5 linked regions of the Callithrix jacchus genome follow. The protein of the gene in region 2 interacts with the protein of the main gene of each other region in a pairwise test. Links are inferred from orthologs where the notes say so. Each region holds a gene or a part of one and is shown on either strand. Other genes may lie near its edges.

Region 1 (4,116 bases), on a different chromosome or scaffold from region 2:
ACTCAATTCCAATACCACTAAGTGATATAAAATTAAGCAGCTTTTCTTCCTTTTGTAAACGTACTGCTTACAGAACATGTGGATTTCTATCATACTTCCAGAATCGTAAGTCAGTTTAATGTAATTTATGTCTTTTAACTTTCATAATAAGGAGTGATTAAATTTTAGTTTTCCCCTCATTCCAAATCTACTAGATCTCTGTAACATTTGCCAGCCGTAATAGCATAACACTTTAGGGGAGGAATAGCCAAACTGCTTGTTCTCAGATATTTTTACTGTAAAGCCACCACAAAGGACCAACATCTAACCGACCCTAATGCCTCAACTCTTTATCGTGTTGTATGTCCACATGCTTTAAAAATACCCACGAGTCATGGCCCTTCAACTATTACTGTGAGTACTAAAATACATCACATTGGAAGTGCTTAATTTACAAGTGTTTGCAATGTCATGGCTCCAGTTGCAATGTGTAAGTGCCGCATCCTGCTTCTAGCTGTCACCGTCACAATAACTGCATGCTATCACTCAAGCTGTCCTTTGCCGTGACTACCCACCTAACTCCTTCCCTCACATAGTTTCCTAGACCTTTTCAATTTACCTCAGCTACATTTTTCTGGAAGGACATCCTTTTCAAAGTTGCTAAACAGCACAAAGACACTAATCCACACAGTGAGACCGCAGAATAAACGACTTTAGAGGAAAATATACACATAAATGAAGTGTATATTTTAAATTAGAAGGTGAACAGAAGAGCTATTCTGACCCACCCACCTTGGGAGCTGACTCCCGAATATTAATTACCTTTTACCTTCCCAGGGAAATCCCACAATACTTTTTTAACCAAATGAGAGAACATGTCCTCACATTTTAAGCAAGTAATTAGCTAATTTGGATGCAAGGTACTGGCTCACCCATAAAAATTATTTAACCTTTATGACGACATGCTTTTCCTCAGGTCTCTCTATTATTAATTTTTCCCTTAGGAACTGAGACACGCTCTCTGGCTAATTCTGCTTCTAACGAAAAATGATTTCAAACCAGCACAAAGGATTCTCTCCCCCACTACTTGGGTACAAGAGGAAGTGGATAAGGTTTCTCACACAGTAACGATGGCTCCAAGGCCTCGCCTCTACACTGCGGGCAGGACTCACCGCACCCATTTAACCCTTACCTGACTTGAGACATCGGTTAGGGTGAAAAGAAAACGGGCAGACCCGGACTTTAAAGTGCAAATCCTCGGGTCCGCGTATCTGCAACCACCCCCCTCCAGGCTCCGCCCAAGCCCGAGCCTCCGCTCAGGTCCCCGACTCTCCTCCTTTGTCATGGCGGATCTGTGTCAGGGAGCCCAACCTACTGCTGAGTGTTAATTCCCCCCCCCACCGGAGCAAGGGGGAGGAGCAGCCGGCGCCCCCGCCCCCGCTCGAGCCGTGGGGGGAAGCCAAGCCACCCGACCCCGGGGCAGAGACGCCAGAGACGCCCGCAGAAGCGGAACCACTAGCAGCCTCACCGCGGACACACCCCGCCTTCCCACCCAGCGCTCTCCCCGCCACCGATCAGCGCCGGTGCCCGCGTGCACCGTCCCTAAGGGCCCGACAGCTGCAGGTGGGGGAGGGGACGAGAGCCACACCCAGTCGAGCGGGCCACCGGCGGCCGCTCTGCTCAGGATCACTGTGCGTCCCCGAAGCGGCGGAGGGACCCTCCAGTTCTAGTGACTCCGGCGCGAGAGCCTATCGCGGGATCCGCACCCCGCTCTACCCCAACCTGGGCTCACAGCCCCAGTCCGCGCCTTCCCCGACGGTTCATAAGGAGGAAAGAAAATCATCCCCATCCCCATCCCCCGTCCCCACCGAGAAAATTCAAGCCCTTCCCCCCACCGCGGAGCCCAGGAAATTCAGCTCCAGGTCCCAGGCGAGCCCCACCCCACAGCCTCCCCCCGCAGTGGGCTCCCTTCCCGCCGCCGGGCCGGGCCCGGGCTCCTGTCCGCTTCCGCCAGGCCCTTCCCTCCCGCCTGTGTCCCCGAGGCCCCCGGCCCCTCCCCGCCGCGCTACCTCCTCCCGGGGTGGGGGAGGGCCGGGTCCCGCCACCGCAGCGCCCAGCGCGGAGGCTGCGCGAGGGGGAGGGAGAGCGGGGGAGGGAGAGCGGGGGAGGGGAAAGAAGGGGCGGCCGAGGGACAGGGGAGGGGGCGGCCTCACCTGCGCCCCCGCGATGCCCGCCGCCGCCGCCGCCGCCGCCGAGTCATTATCTCGGGCGGAAGCGAGAAGGGCAGCGAGGGCGGGGGTAGAAGCAGAAACAAGGGTGGGGACGAATCGCGGCCGGCGGCGCCCCGGCCATGCCTCGTCCGGCTTCGGGAGCAGGCGACGGGGGATCCCCGGGGATCTCGCGTGTGGGCGCCCTCCCCACCCCCGGGAGCGGGACGGGGGAGCGAGCACCGATCGGGGCCGGGGCGGCGACGCGGAAACCAGGCGCGGGAGGCTGCCGCTAGCCGCCCGCCCGAGCCCAGCGGAAGAGGAGCCGCCGCCCGTGTCTGCCGGGGAGACTCCGCCTCAGCCCCGCGCCGCCACCGTGGGGCGAGCGGGGATGAGGGGACCCGGTGAGGACGGCTCCCACGCGTTCAGAAGGCTGGCCTGGGACAGGAGGAGCGGGGAGCGGCGGCGGACGGGTTCCTCACCTGTGTCCGGAGTGGGTGGAGGCGGCGGACGGACAGGGGCTCAGCAGTCTCTGGGCGGCGGCGGCGGCGGCAGCGGCGGCAGCGGCGGCGAGGCTGAGACTCTGTCCCTGGATCTCGCTGCTCACAGGCTACAGCCGCTCCGCAGACACGGGGTTTCCTCCAATCACCAGCCCCGGCAGCAGGGGCACCACACGCACGATGACGTCAAACGCTGCTATGGCAACCGTTGATTAGTGCCCACAGCGATCTGGGCCTCGCGCAACCGCCGCTCCCCGGCGCGCGTCCTGCCCGCCCGCGCTGGAGGGCGAGCGGAGGAGCGCGCGTCCTCGCCCGCTACGGCCACTCCCCCACCCGGCTCGGCTCCCAGGTCCTCTACGCTTGTCCGGAGTGCACCTAGGCGGGAAGCTTCTGTTTTTCTTTTCCTCCCCAACGCAGATCCCCCCGACTCCTCGCCTTCCCCTTAGGTCCCCGACGTCCTCTCCCCTGCAGCCTCCACCGGCCCACTCTACCTCTGAGCCTGTGGGAAGGCAGCTGTCTCCCTACCCCTACCCCCACGTTAGCTTTCGCTCAGCCGGTCTGCGCTTGCGCCAGTCACTCCTCTCACTCCTCTGGAAGGGGCTCCAGTTCAGCAACATCCGGGACCTTTCACATCCCCCCCACCCCGCCCCCCTCCCCGAGGCCCGGCCCGCCCTGCCCTGCCCTCGGTGCTTCGCGGTGGTCACTGTCCCAGGGCCGTCCCGGGGCAGGATGACGAGTGTGGGTCGGCGGCTCCGGCATTGTGATCAGGACTTGCAGGGTGGGGGCCCTGGGGCGAGGACAGGGCGCGGTCGCAAGGCAAGGGAGGGCTGTGTGTGGTGTGCTCCCCTTGCTCGGCTGGGTCGACCAGGGGGCGCGGCCGCTCCCTGCTTCCCTTACGCCGCCGCGGCTTTACCTGCTGGCTCCGGGGAAGTGGCCCTAGACCTTTTATGGCTCGGAAACGGGAGTGTGGCTGAGTGATGGGGAGGTGTTCCAATCGGGAGCTCGGGATCTGCGCTCGGTGACAGCGAGAGGGGACAATGGGTGGGCACCGAGATGGGGCGAGGTGGGCCGGGCCGGGCGGAGCCGGCGGGAGGTCAGGCCTGGAAGGAGGCGCGGCCGCTTTAGGGAAGCCAGAGTGCGGAGGGGAAAGGATCGCCTTCTCCGGTGGGGGGCTGGAGCTGGTCCTGGCACAGCTGACCCGGAGACGAGCAGTCAGGCGTGACCGCACGGGCCTGTTTCTCGTAGGCTAGGTTTTCCTACCCAAATAAAGCGTTCACGTGAAGAGCTCACACTGCAGTGATTTAAAACGTGACTATCATTACCGTTTTGTCTTCTAAAAGCAAGCTTTGAAGGACGTCGTAGTCCCCAGGGCCCCAGCTGGCGATGGGAGTGGGCCACAGGCCGGGCGACGAGCGGGGACAGAGCCCGGA
Region 2 (3,500 bases):
CCCAAATGCAGCAGGAAACGTGAGACTCACATATAACAACACTTCACCACAAGATTAACTCTGAAAATTGGTGATGATATTACAAAACAAATCTAAGTATACAGATGAGAACTTGTGAGTTTGCTTATTCGGGAATTAGTACCTAGAGATAAAGGTCTGAAGCAAAATCACACAGCCCTTGAGTGAGTCAGACCTTCTCTGAAGAATTCAGTGCCTCACCTAATCAGAACGGAGTCCCTGGTATAGCCGCCGTCATACTCTGTCGTTTCTTCCAATGCCTGGAAATCTAGATTCTGAAAATTCAAGAAAATATGTCTTAGTGTCTCCTGCACTGCTCTTCATTACGAACAACAATCCATCCGTGACTTTCTGCAGACGCCTGCTTTCTTACCCGGCTTCCACATATAAGCAATTCAATTTCTTCTGGTCTGAATAAGTACTTTAAGGGAGATTCATTGGTCACCATATGAAAACCTCTCCGAAAAGCCTTGAACTGTTTTTCTACTGATTTATTGAGAATGTAGTCAGAATAAAGATTGACAAATTCCTGTAGGAAACATTAATCACAAAAACCTCTTAAAATATGCTATGCAAACAGAACACAAGTTAGTAGGCTGCAGAGCTGTTCAGTTTTTCCGGGAAAAAAAATTAAAGAATATTTGAAACAATTCAATATTACACCTACAAAGAAAACTACTACTTCTATTTCACAATTCTCTGTTATAGCCAATATGAAGCTGTGAAAAGGCCATATACATGAAACTGTCATACATGATATAATGTCAGTTCTGATACTGTATTAAACACACCTAAATATAAATGCTAGAGATGCATACAACTTTTTAGGTTCCCTCAACTAGGTATGCAAACAGAAACATTTAAACCATGTATCCATCTATTTATAAATGCTAACATTTTAAGAGCGTACAACATATTTGATTTGAGCAAACCAGGAAGTCCCATGTTTTCTACCACAGAATATTTGCTAAGCGGCCTACTGTATCCAGTTCAGTGAAAATACTGAAGTGTTGACTGACACAAACTACTCTATCAAATCATAAAAGGAAAATGTGCTTTGTACCCTTAGTGTGTATAATATTTCATCAAAAAATATCAATAGAAACATGTTTCTTAAAAGGTGTACTATATCTTTGTCATAATTTTTCCTGTTCTGGGTTATTCCCATTCCAGACTAACACATTTTAGACAACAGAAACGCAGATCTGATGTAAAAAATACTTTTCAGAAATGTCTTTATATCACAAACAGGATACACATTGTAAATTAAATGTAATTTTTATTTGTCTGTGACAAGGTCCTTTATCATGAGGTTCCTGCTTACAGCTTAATATGGAAAATACCCTGCTTCTTGCTTTATCCTACAACCACACTTAGCTATGAACTATCTCCTACGTCACGTCCTCTTTCTCTAAATTGGATTTAGTGCCTAACTGTGAGCTTTCATACCAACTTACATCCAAGATTTAGGAGACTGGACTCCAGCATTTACATAAACTTGGTTACTGGATTTCTTGTGTTTCTTTGTACCGACTATATTAGATACTCCTTTAAAAATTATAAGCATACATGCTTTGAAATTGTTAATGAAGAGACAAACATGATGACATAAAACATTACCTTCCTGTTTTCATTTGTAATTGGAATTTTATCACCATTTTCCTTTAGATCATACATCATTGGGTTACCAAAAAGATCTGTTTGTGATATCTGGAAAGTGATCATCATGTCATCTTCCACATTCCCTTCATACTCCAATAAATCTTTTAAACTCTGATATAGAACCTAGCAACCAGAAATGGTAAATTGAGGCCACTATAGAACTATAAAATACAACAAATAATTTACATCACCCTTCTTAAGACAATAAAAACAAAAAACTTATCAATGAAAACTGTAACAAGGATAGTTAGTATTCCTCCAGTCCCCAATAGTTTCCAACCTACAAAAGAAACACTGGCAGTCACTGGGATGTCCCATTCTCTGCTGAAAAACCCACACCACCAATTTAGCATTCGATTTCACACTGTGCTCTATGAGAAATTCTGTGGTGTCTCAACGTGGGGGTGGGGGAGGTGGGAGCAGGCACACTAGTGGTAGCTACCAAGACCCTTAGCCAGGGCTGCTCTGATTTTACCTATCTCATAAGATTTCACTAAAATATAAACAAAATGTTTAGAAACATTTCTCTATGGAATCAGTCTTAAAAAGCTTCATGCTGACAGCAATATATAAAAATTTCCCCTTTTAGAGTTTGTAAGTGTTCATGGTACTTCAGTCTGATTAAAACTTAAAGATTCTAAATGAAAACTTTTAAAATTTTGATATAAATTAAATTGTATATTTGCATTTAAAATAAAATCAAAGAGACTGAATTAAAAAAATGACAACTTACTGGGTGAGAGTCTCCCAAGTCACGAAAAGTTCCTTTTTTCCCCATGAGCTTCCTGTAGACAACCATGGGAAAATGGACATCCAGTATACAGTTATTGTAAATAGCCAGACCCAGTACTATGCCAATCAGAGTAAACTGACCCTCAGTTTCAAAAGAAGACGGATTAAACCAAAACAGTTTTGTAGATTCGTCGTATGTGAACATACCTATAAGAAATAATTTTTAAAAATACATTACTTTTGTATTTTATTAAGAAGTGATAAATACAAATTTAAAGTAATTACACATATAAAACATTTAAAAATATATGTAATTATGCATACATTGATTTCTATTAGCACTTGAGAAAACACTGTCCACATATATGTTATAAACTGTGGCAGATGTGGTATGTAATTTTATGAAGTCAAAGAAAGTCCTAAGTAATTGAATGGCATTGAGTAGAAAAACACATTCGTTAAATTCAAGCTTTCTAATTTTCTACTAACACATAAGAAAAGTTACATTCACACTTTATCTACCCATAGCTAAAACATAAACATAAAACCCAAGGGCTATATTTCCAAAGTGTTTCATTTATGAAAATATATTGGTACCACATGTATTATTTTTAAAAAACAGCTTTTAATCACAGTAAGGAAAGTCTGTTTTTGAAAGTTAGATAGTGCTGCCATGAAATTCTTCTAGCATTTTCCTAACAACATCAGATGATCTGAAGTACATAAACTTAGATTAATCTGATAAACGTAGATAAGCAAAGCTACTTAATACCTGTGTTGTGGGCCAGTATGTAAAACAAAAGTCATTTCAATTTCACATGGTCTTCATTATGCAAACCCCAATCGTGGAGACCTTTATATCACTCACTGGAAAACTGGGGTGGGGCGTGGTAGTTCACGCCTGTAACCTCAGCACTTTGGGGAGGCCGACACAAGCAGATCACCTGAGCTCAGGAGTCCAAGACCAGCCTGGGCAAGATGGCAAAACCCCATCTCTACAGAGAACACAAACATTAGCTGGGTGTGGTAGCATGCCCCTACAGTAGTCCCAGCTACTTTGAGAGGCTGATGCATGAGGATGGCTTGAG
Region 3 (4,116 bases), about 90 Mb from region 2:
AAAACCAAACATTCCACTTCTGTAGGGAATTTGCAAAATGATAGATTAGTCACAGATTTAAGAAGCAGAATAGAAATAAGAATACACAGAAATGAGGTGCTTCACTGCCCAAGACTGCAGGAAAATTGAAACATGCACAACAAATAAAGCTGTTTGTATTTTTCCTTCTAAAGCCCAAGCAGGATATCATATAAATTTATTTTTTGTTTCTTCAAACAATATGCAGATTCATTTTAAGAAAAAATAAATTCCTCCTCCAAATACAGCAACAGCATGTTCTGACTCCTTAAAATATTTGTTAAACAACTATGTGCAAAGTCCTATGACAGTGGTATCTCTGAGGCTGAAAATGGCAATGTTGTTCCTGCCTGCCCTAGGGTTAACTAACATCATCTGTCTAGGGAGTCAGACATGTAAACAATGAGGACAGACAAGAAAGATGGTCCTGTTAATGAGAAGAACAAGAAATGTGCTAGGGTAATAGAAACTAATTCTGTCTGAAAGAACATTTGTAAGAGTCATACATGTAAAAGGTGGCACTGGAATTCAGCTTCTGAAGGAGTTAAAAATTTCAACGAAAAACAGGTGGTGAAGTGACTTGACTATGGATGTTTGCAAGTATGTGATTAAGTCAGAGAAGATAGGGGAGAAGTGTGGATGATGATTGAGGCTGGTTTTGGCGGACAGACAGGAAAGAGTGGTGAAGAATTTAAACTTTATTCCACAAGCAATGGTGAATCAGTTGATTTTGTGATAGGGAGTTGGCATTTTTTTAAACAAAGTACAGGGATTGTCTCATCATTATCATCTAGCTGCAAAGTCAAGGCACTTACATTATGTGTTTAAATGAAACATTTATTGAAGAACCTTTGTAAAGTGGTGTGGTAGGTAGGCAGAGTTGAGGATGGGATTTGACTAAGAGATAAATACACTGCCGGAAGTAAATGAAAAACAACCATGGGAGCCTAAGGAAGAAAGGATTAGTGCCTCTCAAAAAGGTGTACAAGGTTTCACAAAGGTGTGAATTTTTAGCTGGGTTTTGAAGGAGGAATTGTCAGGCAGACAGTAACATTGTCATAGATAGTGAAATGGAAATTAAACTATGGTTTTAGTATTATCAAGATTTCATAAGACAGCAGTATTATTCACAATAGCCAAAAGGTGGAATCGACCTGCATCCATTGAATGGATAAGCAAAATGTAGTATATATACAGGTTGAGCAGCCCTCATCTGAAAATCCAAAATACGAAATGGTCCAAAATCCAAAACTTTTGAGTGCTGACATGATGTTCACTGGAGCATTTCAAACTAGGAATGCAACTGGTTAAGCATAACGCAAATACTCCAAATCTGAAAAACAAAAATCCAAGATACCAAACAGTTTTGGTCCCAAGCGTTTCTAAAAAGGGATACTCAACCTGTACAATGATGTTATTTATTTAGCCTTAAAAAGGAAAATTCTGACACATACTACCTTCGCAGAAGAACCTTATAGACACTATGCTAAATGAAACCTGCCAGACACAAAAGGACAATCACCATACGACTCCACTTATATGAGGTACCTAGAGTGGTCAAACACATAATGAAAGGAAGCAGAGTGGTGGCTGAAGGAGGGGGTAATGGAGGCGAGTTTGTGTTTAATGAGCACAGAATGCCAGTTTGGAAGATGAAAAGAGTTTGGAGATAGAGTGGTGACGGCTGCACGACGAGGTGAATGCCCTTAATGCCACTGGACTGTACACTTAAAAATAGCTAAAATGGTCAACTTTGTTATGTATATTTTACAATAAAAATTATTTCATAAACCATTCCAAACTGCTGACCCTTCATCCTGTAGGCCGTGGTATATCTGCTCTCGGAAAAGTAACCGGTGGGTGAGGCAAGTCAGGAAGGAGGCTGGGGTTATAAGGCCAGGAGCCCAGAGGCACAGAAAAAAGAGGGGTAGGGTAAGGAAAGGAAGGCCAGAGGGAGAGAGGAGCAAGGGACCCAGAACAAGGAATATGGTCAGCTACTCTACAGGGCAGGGATCCAGCCCCAGCAGCTTTTTTTTTTTTTTTTTTTTTAAGCAGTTCCCTGCTAAGCTTTCAGACCACAGTTCACGCTGAAACATTCGTCAGCACAAGAAGCGAGGGTGGCCCGGGCCCCGGGCGCCCCCAGCACCTGGCTGCGTGGCCCAGCAGGGCTCCGCCGGGATTCAATAGCAGTTCGGCCTCCCACTCGACCCAGCCGCACCCAGCGGCCCAGTTACTTATCCTCAGCGAGCCCGGGTTTCCGCGCCGGTCACCCGGGGCTATGCAAATAGCGGGCTCACGGGGTGGTGAACATCAAGTGAAAGAAACAAAGCGCTGAGCACTGGGCACCAGCGTCTTAGGGCTCGAGATAGGTTTTAGTCCTGAAAAAAGCCCAGCCTGTCCCAGGGTCCTCGCGGCCGCCGGGCTCGGAGCTTAAAGTTGGGGGCGGGCGGGGTGGCGCTTCCCGGGCTTGCGACCCCCAGGTTCCCGAACGCCCGCGGGCCATACGGCCCCGCCCGGCCCAGATACCGCGGGTTCTGGAGGCTGGCGGCGGGGAAGGCCCCACGCGCTCGCCGACTTACTCCTCCAAGAAGTCCAGGAACAGTTTCTGGCACTTCTCGGCCACCTCGTCGCGGACCTCCAAATGCTGGCTGCCGGCGCCAGGCTCCGCTGCCGCCGCGAGGTCCATATTTGCCTGGCGCCGAAAACTCGCCACGCCACGCTCGACCGCCACAAGCCGCTTCTTTCCAGACGCTGCAGCTTTTCGCGCGCCGCCGCCGCTTCCGCCTCGCCCCCTCTTCCGACTGGCACGGCCAGAACCAATCGTGACGCAGGAACCAAAGATTTCGCGCCAAACCTGTCCAATGAACGGCGTTGATTGGTCTCCCAGGGCCCCGCCCACGGAAAGGGATTTCGCGCCAAATGCAAAGTCCTCCGGAGAAAGCACAGGTCTGCCTTTGCGCCTGCGCAGTGTCGCCGTGGCCCGCGGATATTTTGGCTGGTGGAACACGTTAGAATCTGAGGTTTTTATCCGAGTGGTTTTTCAAATGTTCTTTAAATAATTTGACTGATATTAATTGAACGATCGGAGTAAAACCCTTTGGAAAAGAAAAATGAGTAAGATTCAAATCTCCAACTTTTGCTGTCTGGTTGGAGGAAATAAGCTGGAAACCATGGGGTAAAACCCTGTAAAAGAGTCAAAGATATGTCTAAACAGCGCCTTGGTAAGGTGGCACAATTATTATGGTGGTGCTGACCGAAGAAAATCAGCGAAATATTTGACACTGGCCAGGCGCAGTGGCTCATGCCTGTAATCCCAGCACTTTGGGAGGCGGAAGCCGATGGATCACCTGAGGCCAGGAGTTCGAGACCAGCCTGGCCAACATGGAGAAACCCCGTCTCTACTAAAAATACAAAAATTAGCCAAGCGTGGTGGCGCATGCTTGTCATCCCAACTACTCAGGAACCCCGGGGCAGAAGAATCGCTTGAACCCAGGAGGCGGTGGTTGCAGTGAGCCGAGATCGCACCACTGCGCTCCAGCCTAAGCTACAAACTGTGACTCCATCTCTAAATAAATAAATAAATGAAAAACAAATAAATATTTGACTCTGATTTAATCTTTTTCTTCAGATGAAGTCTGTCGCTCAGGCTTGAGTACAGTGGCACAATCAGCTCACTGCCCACTCATCACCATGTCGGGCTAAGTAGAGATAGGGTTTTGTCATGTTGGCCAGACTGGTCTCAAACTCCTGACCTCAGGTGATCTGCCCGCCTCAGCGTCTCAAAGCGCTGGGATTACAGGCATGAGCCACAGCGTCTGGCTTTAATCCCCTTCTTAAAATGCACTATTGGCTTCAGTTCTTTTATTCTTTCCCCCATCTTTTCCTGACTTTGGTTTCACTTGGATTTTCTGCCATCTCTTTGATTTCACTCGGTTTTTCTGCCACCTCGTTGGCTATTCTTGGTTAGCATCTTTTGTAGGTGCCTCTTCTTCAGCGAGTCTTTTAAATGTTCTAGTTCCAGAGCCTGCTTTTTCCATAAAGTTCTTTTGGGTGACCCTTCTCACTCCCTTGGCATTAATTAACATCTGGGTACTGATG
Region 4 (4,283 bases), on a different chromosome or scaffold from region 2:
ATTGTGCCTACTGTACTGTGTACAAATATAGCAAAAAAGATCAATGAATGGTATAAATCTTACAGCATTTTGCTAGCAAAAATACATGCCAAAGTCACAATAAGCAATATCGTACCACAAATTAGAGAGCTTCAAATAATTTGCTTCTGATTTTAATATCTTCATTCTACATTAAATTACTATCATAGGCTAATGTTTAAAAATGCAAATAAATTGGACATCTGTAGGACAACACTTGTTCACCCAACTGTGAAGGTTGATACCTGTTTCCAAAAATCACAATAAATGCAGAATAAAGAAAGTGTTTGCATGCAACACTTTTGAGTGAAACAGCATTGATTCCCACCATTCAAAACAGATAAGAAAGGAAACTAAAGGAAAGAAGGAAGGAAGGAAACAAAGAGGGAGGGAGGGGGACACAAGAGGAAGGGAAGGAAGGAAAAATAATCAAAGGAGAAAGGGAGTGAGGGAAGTAGGAGGGAGGGACTCCATCTTAAAATGCATCATATTAGACTTATAACTAGACAGATTTAAAAGAATCAAAATGAAAGTAAAGAACGATTTTGTGTGTGTGTGTTTAAAGATTTAAGAGCCATTATCAAAAATAAGATACATTTTTTTTCCAGGTACAGAAATGTAATTAAGATGGCTGGGAGCCCAGCAGCCTTTCAATGGCTGCATTGATGTCGCCTCCTGTTGCTATTAGGGCCTGCAAGTTTGCTTCACGGTTTAAGAACCCCATTGCGTTGAGCTGTTCCAGTTGTTGCTGAAATCTGACTTCTGGATTCGGCAGCTGTGGAGCACTGGCTCCAGCCAGAGCCTGCACCATTTGCTGAATGAACTGCTGGTTGGGTCCAGATTCTGATGTAGGACTCGTGGTTTCACTGGGTGCAGCGCTGGACACAGTAGGACCGGTGGGACCACCAGAGCCGGTGGAGCCAGGGGGGCCTGCAGGGCCAGTGGGTCCTATGGGCCCAATTGGGCCTATGGGGGTAAAAGGGACTATAGGGCCTATGGGGCCTATGGGGGTGACTGGGCCTACAGGGCCTATGGCGGTTCCCAGCACCCCCACCCCCACACCTGGAGTGAAGCTTGGAATGAGGCCAGGTGCTTCAGTGGCTAATGTCTGTAGCCCCTGCTGGATCTGCATTAAAGCCTGCATTGCTCTAGGGTTTGACATGGCAGATAGTGTATCTGGATTCTGCATCTGCTGCAGGAAGGCTGGGAGCTGTGGACGCATCTGCTCCTGCAGCTGAGGATTTGCAGTAAACAGCGGGCTATTCAGCATCATCTGTGCAGCCAAATCTGGATTCTGGCTCAGCGACTGCATCATGCTTCTCATGTAGGGCGCCGACAGCATATTCTGAATCAGCTGGGGGTTTTCAGTTATCTGTTGCAGCAGGCTCTGCATGCCTGGGGTACTAAAGATACTGGCGACATAATTAGCTGCAGCAACGGTGTTCCCAGTAGCATTGCTGGAACTATTGCCAGACCCACTACCAGTGCTCGTGGTCGTGCTGGTAGTTGCAGAACTCTGGGTAGCTGGCGGTGGTGCCCATGGATTGGGTAGTGGATCACGATTTTCTGTGCGGGAAGGCTGCGTACCTTCTCCAGAGGAGGAACTACTCCCCACAGAGGCAAACGGATTACCCCCAAACTGCTCTTGTGCAGCATTCAGCATCGGCTCTTGAATGTCAGTGTACATGCGCCGTAAAGCATTATAGCCACCTGGGATGCTTTCGAGATTGCTAAGAGCCAGGTCTTGATTTCTCATCATCTCTTGCATCATGGCTGGATTCCTGGCAATTTCGAGTGTCTGCCTCATTATATCTGGGTTGTTGAGCAGGTGACTGATTTCTGGGTTTCTCTGAATCAATTGCTGCATCTGTGGATTAGCCATAATGAGCTGCCTCATCAGATCGGGATTCGAAAGCATGCTCTGAACAAAGGGATTTTCCATGATTTGGATCATCATCTCAGGGCTGGCCATGAGTTGCTGCTGCATCTGGCTCTGGAGCTCAGAGAAGTTGGTCGAGCTCAAGCCCAGGCTGCTAAGGCCTGCCAGTCCTCCCAGGCTCCCCAACCCAAACGGGTTGCTATTTGTGGAAATAGGTGTGGAGTTACTCCTGGGAGTCGACGCCGAGGTAGTGTTAGTTCCCGCGGCATTGCTAGGCTGCGTGGTCTGGCCCTGAGGTCGGTTCTGACTCTTGATGACAAGGTGAACAGTCAGCCCATCATGGATGCCGTGCTGGATCAAGGTATCTTGATCTTTTAAGATTTTTCCGGCAAAAATCAGCACTAGCTGATCGGTTTGGGATTTGAAGCGTTTCGAAATCGCTTCCTTAAACTGCTGGACCGAGCTATTCTCGGGCACCGCGAACTCCTCTTTCTCTTTGGGAGTCTTCACAGTGACTTTGATGATTTTAGGCTCCGCCGGGGCAGCAGCCGAGCCTTGGGCCGCAGCAGGGCCGCGGGAGGGGCGTGGGGGGCCGCTGCTCTCGCCATTCTCAGCCATGGCGGCCGCGGTGACGCAGGCGGGCAGGAAAGGCGCGGGCCGGCGAAAGAGAGAGAGCGAGGGAAGGAGGAAGGAAGGAGGCGCCGCCGTAGCGGGCTGGGCCGGGTCGGGCGGGGAGCGCGGAGCACGGTACCTCTGTGATGAAGACTGTGGTTCCGTGGTCCTCCGGAGAAAGGACTGGGCGTAGGCCGCGGGCTGAGGTTCCGCGCTCCAGTCTCTAGGCCTCCTCCGCCGCCGCCTTGTGATCCGACCGCGCGCACTCCCAGCAACTCCGGCAGCCGCTCCGCCTGCTGCTCCCCGCCCCTTCCCCTCCCCCAGTTCCGCGCTCGCCTCCCCGCCCTCTCTGCTGACGCGGCGCCAGGCCTAGATTGATAGATTTGGCTCGGTCAAAATTAAAAACTTCTGCACTGAAAAGAAAAAAAAAAGGGAGAGAGAGAAACAAAGGGAGAGAGAGAACAGAACAGAACAGTACAGAGCAGGCGAGGCAGAGAGGGTGGGACGGAGAGAAGGCGGCGGTAGAGAGTCAGCTTCTGTAAACGACATTAAAAGACCGATGGAGAATAAACATTAGAAATCTGTAAGGCAGTAAAAGGGTGAAAGCCTGATTCGAACCGATCCCACGTAAAAGACGAAAAATGAATAATAAAGAACTCTGACAAAGCAAAAAGAAAGGAGGAACAACCCCCAATGGGGGAAGGGAAGAAGACAGCAGGAGCATGCATTTTACAAAAGGAGTGCAAATGGTCAATAGACATTAAAAAAGGACGATTAATCTCACTAGTAATCAAAAAAAAATTCAAGTTAAAACAATAAAATTCTACTTTTGGGTTATATTGGCAGGGGAAAAAAATAATGGTAAACCTTCCTGTTGACAGGGACCCCTAAAAAATGCACTCTCAGGCTAGCTGAAGTGTGAATTGTTACAATCACAGGGCAATTTGAAAATATATATCAGCATTTCGAATGTTTCCACCTTTATTTAGAAATGCCTAACCTAGACACTCACCTAAGAAAATAATCAGATAAGGATGCAAAAATATTTATGTATAGAATGTATATACGTTGTAGCATTTTAAAACGTTATTTAAATATTTAAAATATCGGTTTACATGAGATTAGTCGAGCACATTATGATATTATCACACAAGAAAATACACAGTGTCTTTAAAGGTAAATATGAAATAAACTATAGTTATAGGGAAATCACAGAGTATTTTCAATTTTGGCTTTGTATATTTCTGTACAGTTAGAAACCATACAAGAATATATGTTACAATATCAAAAATGCAATAAATACATTTTTATTTGAAAACCAATCTTTGAACAGTTTGTTGTACATGTAAACTGTAAGTGTAAAAATATCTGGAAGGCTATTCACAAATAAGTTAATGGCTGTTAGTACAGTTCACTGAAATTATGAATATTATTTTCTATTTTTATAAAATTTTGAATTTTCTAATGATTTTTGTAGGTATGCACTGGTGAAAGGTATTTTGGGGAAGAGTATGGGTAGAAATTGACAGGCACATAACAGTAGTGGCAAACATTGACATATATACCTAATTTCATTACAGATTAAGTAAAAGCAATAAAGATGTAGCAAAGCTGAGGAAGAGAACTGGAAAAATAGAAGAGATAATTTCAAATTTATCTATATATTTCTAACTCTAGGTTAAATCACACAGAAAATTCTTCTCCCAGCCCCTACGCTCTAACAGGCATCCATCAAAGCACCAATGCTTTGAACATTTAGCAGCATTTCAAAGTC
Region 5 (4,074 bases), on a different chromosome or scaffold from region 2:
CACAGTCAATGTATAGAAATTTATCTTAAGGAAATAAGAAAATATGTAAACCAACATTTATGACAAGAATGCCCTTGGCATCATTCTGTTCTATCTGGCCCAAGACGTGAATAATTTTGTCTAGTGTATCCATGCTGTAGACGTTACCTGCCATTCCTGTATAAGGGAAAATATAGTGGATCTAGGGTTCAGTACTACCCATGGTTTCAGACACCCATAATTTCAGGCATCCACTGGAGGTCTTGGAGTGTACCCCCTGCAGATAAGGGGGGACTACTGTACTCAACACCACTGGGGGCTTGAATCCCTGAAAAGTGGATGGAGAAAAACAAACTGATGTGAAAAATCTTTGTCTTCCAACAAATAAACAGATAGGATCTGTGCCCCTGGGTGATGATTGAGGCTTCTCTTAACTTTCAGCGGGTGGTATTTTCCAGTGCTCACAGGAATGTTGAGATTTTTGGCTGTGGACCTTGTGTTTTGCTTAGTCAAGTTGTTTTGTGTAGATTGCACCTGACATTTTATTCTTCCAATAACCATAGGAGGTAAATGAATAATTCATACACAGTGCAAGGATACAACTGCACAGGGTTCAGCTGCCTTGGAAACCCTGTGCTGTTCAGATATTTGTTGAATGGAACTTAAGCGCTCAATTTGTTCTGATTGGAGCAAAAATTTGTGGACTGACAAGGAAAGGAGTCCAAGATGTAGGAAGTAAAAAAAAAAGTTACTAGACAAGGTGTAGAGCACGATCCTATCTGTGTTTTGAAATCTACAAAATTATGTATCTATAGCTATGTATGTATCTCTGAATGGAGAGAAAGAGCCCAATCATTACCACTGCCTACCCCTGGGAGTGAGAATGAAGTGTAGAGGGAGCAGGTGCAGGGAAGAATGCTCACTTCTTACTTTATGTACTTCTGTACTGTTAAAATTTTAACAGGTCATCCTGTAACAACAACAAAAAATTTAATAAAAATCATCAATTATAATCAGAACTACCCTTTGACAGTAAATGTTCTCAAACCATCTCACCAAATGCCCAGAAAGAGTTAACACAGGAGAATTTCAGATGTTTGAAGTGAGGATGAATTCCTGCTTTGCGGGTGGGAGGTGGGCTTAGGGATGAGAGGCAATGAGGAGGGGAGAGGAGGGAAGAAGCTGAGGGGAGGGTTGGCTGCTGAGCTCTCATTCCCAACCAATGGCATGAACGTTTCAGGCCCAACGCCCATTTGTGGAGACTATTTCAGGAGTCTGGATTTGCATCTGAGTTCATTGCCACTGAAACCTGCCAGAGAAGAGCTAAGGGAGCTTTTGGGGTTGGCTTCTTGGAGGCTGCTTCTCCTTTACTTGGAAGGTAAAAATCTCAAGCCCAAGCTGATCAGGTGGTGGTGATTGATTGGGCTGTTTACTTTTTTCTTTTGGGTGTATGGATTTCTTGTTCCAACCAGGGCCATAAGAGGCTTATGGGATAGGGTTTTACTTTTACTAACAATGATATTTACATGGAGCTTCTAATAAGGTGGAGTAGTAGTTCTTCCTGGTCCATTCAGATGACAAAGCGCAGATTGTCAAAGCGTTAAGTAGATTTTGTTGGATAGGCTCGCATGGAAATGAGGGAGCGCCTATGCTTTGATGATTAACAATTTTCATATTATTCCTTCTTGGTTTCACACAAAGCATGGTTCAGCTTTTACAGGAATTACACATGAGTGTAGCAAATCCTACTCAAGTATTCAACGGAATGCTTTCTACTAACACTGTAGAATGAGTTCTTGCTTTATTTTCCATCTTAGTAAAAAGTCTTTAAAACTCTCTTAAGTTTTTAAGTTAAAAAAAAAAAACAACTCCTTTCATAGTAAAGATACTTTACAAGAGAAAGTAGGAAAAAAAAAAAGAAAGAGAGAGTTTGGAAAGACACTTTCAGTGAAGTCACCCTGATGTTTAGGTCCAAATGTGGTTTCTCTCTCCCCCAGTGCTATGTTTCCAACATCTCAGGGACCTTCTTCTTCCCCCTCCCAGGCTTCACTTGTGATGGACCCATACGTGATTCAGATGAACAGCAAAGGCAACCTCCCCTCAATTCTGGACACGCATGTCAACGTTGGTGGGAGAAGCTCTGTGCCGGGAAAAGTGAAAGGCAGGAAGGCCAGGTGGTCCGTGAGGCCCTCAGACATGGCCAACAAAACTTTCAACCCCATCCGAGCCATTGTGGACAACACGAAGGTGAAACCAAATCCAAACAAAACCATGATTTCTCTGTCCATTGGTGAGTTGGGGATACTACTGAGGGAATGTTATAGTCCCCTCTGCTCTCATATTCACAGGCTGGTTGGAGAAGATGGGAGGTGGGGGGTGAGGCTGAGTACTGAATATGGGAGAGTAATCTCTTGGTTCCTTTTGTTTTTTCCTTCCATAAAAAGGGGACCCTACTGTATTTGGAAACCTGCCTACAGACCCTGAAGTTACCCAGGCAATGAAAGATGCCCTGGACTCCGGCAAATATAATGGCTATGCCCCATCCATTGGTAAGCTCCTCCTGAGACTCTGTACCTGGTGGCTGCCCAATGTTTAGTGTTGTTATAACAGGACCAAATGTCTAGCAATTCTCTTCACTTTCCTGATGTCTAATTTCTAAGGAGAAGCTAAGATTACATGGCCCTTTGGATTTGGAAAAGGGGTCTCAGGATGCTTAAATACAAGGCATCAAGGTCCAGCTTCTTTCCTGGCTTCCTTTGGCATATGGGCACTTTCCCTCTAGGCTCCCAAACATACTTATTTGTCAAATAAAGGTCACCTCCTATCATTACTAATTCTAATATGAAGGTCTTGTGTCTGGCAGGAGCTTTGTGTTTATTAAGCCTTCTAGGTGCTAAATGGTTTTACTTATTACCCTGTGTACATAGCCTCTTTGCTACATTTCTTCTCTATGTATTGAAGGCCTATTTTCATTATGGCCCTGAGCACATTGAAATGCAATTGTTACTGTTTAAGACTCAAGAGGTTAAACAAACACCCAAGAACAAGAAAAAAATGGGCTGTGAAATTGAAGGATGGAAGGTTGTTTCAGATAGATAGAAATTACTTCTTTTTAGGTTTAATTCTCTCTATTAAAAATTTCTACCCCGAATATTTTGGTAAAGTACATGATTCCTTGACTTTCAGTGTTGCACATTTTTTTCCTTATGTGTACATAGAAACAATTCTAAATGCAGAATAAAACCCAAGTTTCATGATAAAATCAAATTTTAAAAACACTTTAAAGAGTTATATCGGGGACTTCGTGTTTTTTAAGGTTGATGACTTAAATTTTTTAAAGTTTCTTGCCAGGCGCGGTGGCTCACGCCTGTGATCCCAGTACTTTGGGAGGCTGAGGCGGGTGGATCACGAGGTCAAGAGATCGAGACCATCCTGGTCAACATGGTGAAACCCCGTCTCTACTAAAAATACAAAAAATTAGCTGGGCATCGTGGCACGTGCCTGTAATCCCAGCTACTCAGGAGGCTGAGGTAGGAGAATTGCCTGAACCCAGGAGGCGGTGGTTGCGGTGAGCCGAGATTGCGCCATTGCACTCCAGCCTGGGTAACAAGAGCGAAACTCCGTCTCAAAAAAAAAAAAAAAAAAATCAAAACAAAATCAAGACCAAAATTTAAGTTATAAAAAAAGTTTATAATGACTTTAATATCCAAAGTATTGGGAAACTGATTTAACCTGAAAAACCAAAATCAAGTCTCCATTTGACAAATGTTCAAAGATTCTGAATGTTTCATTCCAAAGGAGATACAGGTGGTAATATATGTTTAGAAAAGTGTTCCTCCTCATTAATAATTAAGGAAGTACTAATTTATATAATTCTGAGAGACCCATCTATACCTATTAAGTTAGTAAACATTATGTTGCTAACTTGTCTTTTTGAACATACATTTTGCAAAATATTGTAATGGGCATGAAACTGCTGACATTTCAAGCTTATAAGCTAACATTTGGAAATACTGGACAAAAATAATATGAAATAAAAATTTGTGCAAAAATACTGACAGCAATATTACATAACATAAAAAACTTAAAATGGAC

Evidence for each region. The genes of interacting proteins can lie anywhere in the genome.
Region 1: the proteins of UBE3A (region 2) and YWHAZ interact in a two-hybrid assay, tested with the Homo sapiens proteins (2 studies listed by BioGRID and IntAct, with this or other methods). The link is inferred for Callithrix jacchus from reciprocal best matches to the Homo sapiens genes UBE3A and YWHAZ.
Region 3: the proteins of UBE3A (region 2) and MCM6 interact in binary tests that used the Homo sapiens proteins (3 or more experiments, as listed by UniProt). The link is inferred for Callithrix jacchus from reciprocal best matches to the Homo sapiens genes UBE3A and MCM6.
Region 4: the proteins of UBE3A (region 2) and UBQLN2 interact in a two-hybrid assay, tested with the Homo sapiens proteins (2 studies listed by BioGRID and IntAct). The link is inferred for Callithrix jacchus from reciprocal best matches to the Homo sapiens genes UBE3A and UBQLN2.
Region 5: the proteins of UBE3A (region 2) and TAT interact in binary tests that used the Homo sapiens proteins (3 or more experiments, as listed by UniProt). The link is inferred for Callithrix jacchus from reciprocal best matches to the Homo sapiens genes UBE3A and TAT.

What each region holds. Positions count from the first base shown.
Region 1 is NC_133517.1:96,015,808-96,019,923, reverse strand, and holds the start of YWHAZ (14-3-3 protein zeta/delta), read right to left. Parts: upstream 2,801-4,116; 5' UTR 2,669-2,800; intron 1,323-2,668; exon of another isoform or gene 1,172-1,322; intron 1-1,171.
Region 2 is NC_133507.1:4,587,563-4,591,062, reverse strand, and holds part of UBE3A (ubiquitin-protein ligase E3A), read right to left. Parts: intron 2,620-3,500; coding exon 2,414-2,619; intron 1,804-2,413; coding exon 1,639-1,803; intron 548-1,638; coding exon 392-547; intron 294-391; coding exon 220-293; intron 1-219. UniProt on the Homo sapiens protein: E3 ubiquitin-protein ligase which accepts ubiquitin from an E2 ubiquitin-conjugating enzyme in the form of a thioester and transfers it to its substrates.
Region 3 is NC_133507.1:94,642,129-94,646,244, reverse strand, and holds the start of MCM6 (DNA replication licensing factor MCM6), read right to left. Parts: upstream 2,801-4,116; 5' UTR 2,705-2,800; coding exon 2,598-2,704; intron 1-2,597. UniProt on the Homo sapiens protein: Acts as a component of the MCM2-7 complex (MCM complex) which is the replicative helicase essential for 'once per cell cycle' DNA replication initiation and elongation in eukaryotic cells.
Region 4 is NC_133524.1:56,701,807-56,706,089, reverse strand, and holds the start of UBQLN2 (ubiquilin-2), read right to left. Parts: upstream 2,801-4,283; 5' UTR 2,516-2,800; coding exon 641-2,515; 3' UTR 1-640. UniProt on the Homo sapiens protein: Plays an important role in the regulation of different protein degradation mechanisms and pathways including ubiquitin-proteasome system (UPS), autophagy and the endoplasmic reticulum-associated protein degradation (ERAD) pathway.
Region 5 is NC_133521.1:30,321,224-30,325,297, forward strand, and holds the start of TAT (tyrosine aminotransferase), read left to right. Parts: upstream 1-1,274; 5' UTR 1,275-1,357; intron 1,358-2,022; 5' UTR 2,023-2,034; coding exon 2,035-2,269; intron 2,270-2,423; coding exon 2,424-2,528; intron 2,529-4,074. UniProt on the Homo sapiens protein: Transaminase involved in tyrosine breakdown. Converts tyrosine to p-hydroxyphenylpyruvate. Can catalyze the reverse reaction, using glutamic acid, with 2-oxoglutarate as cosubstrate (in vitro).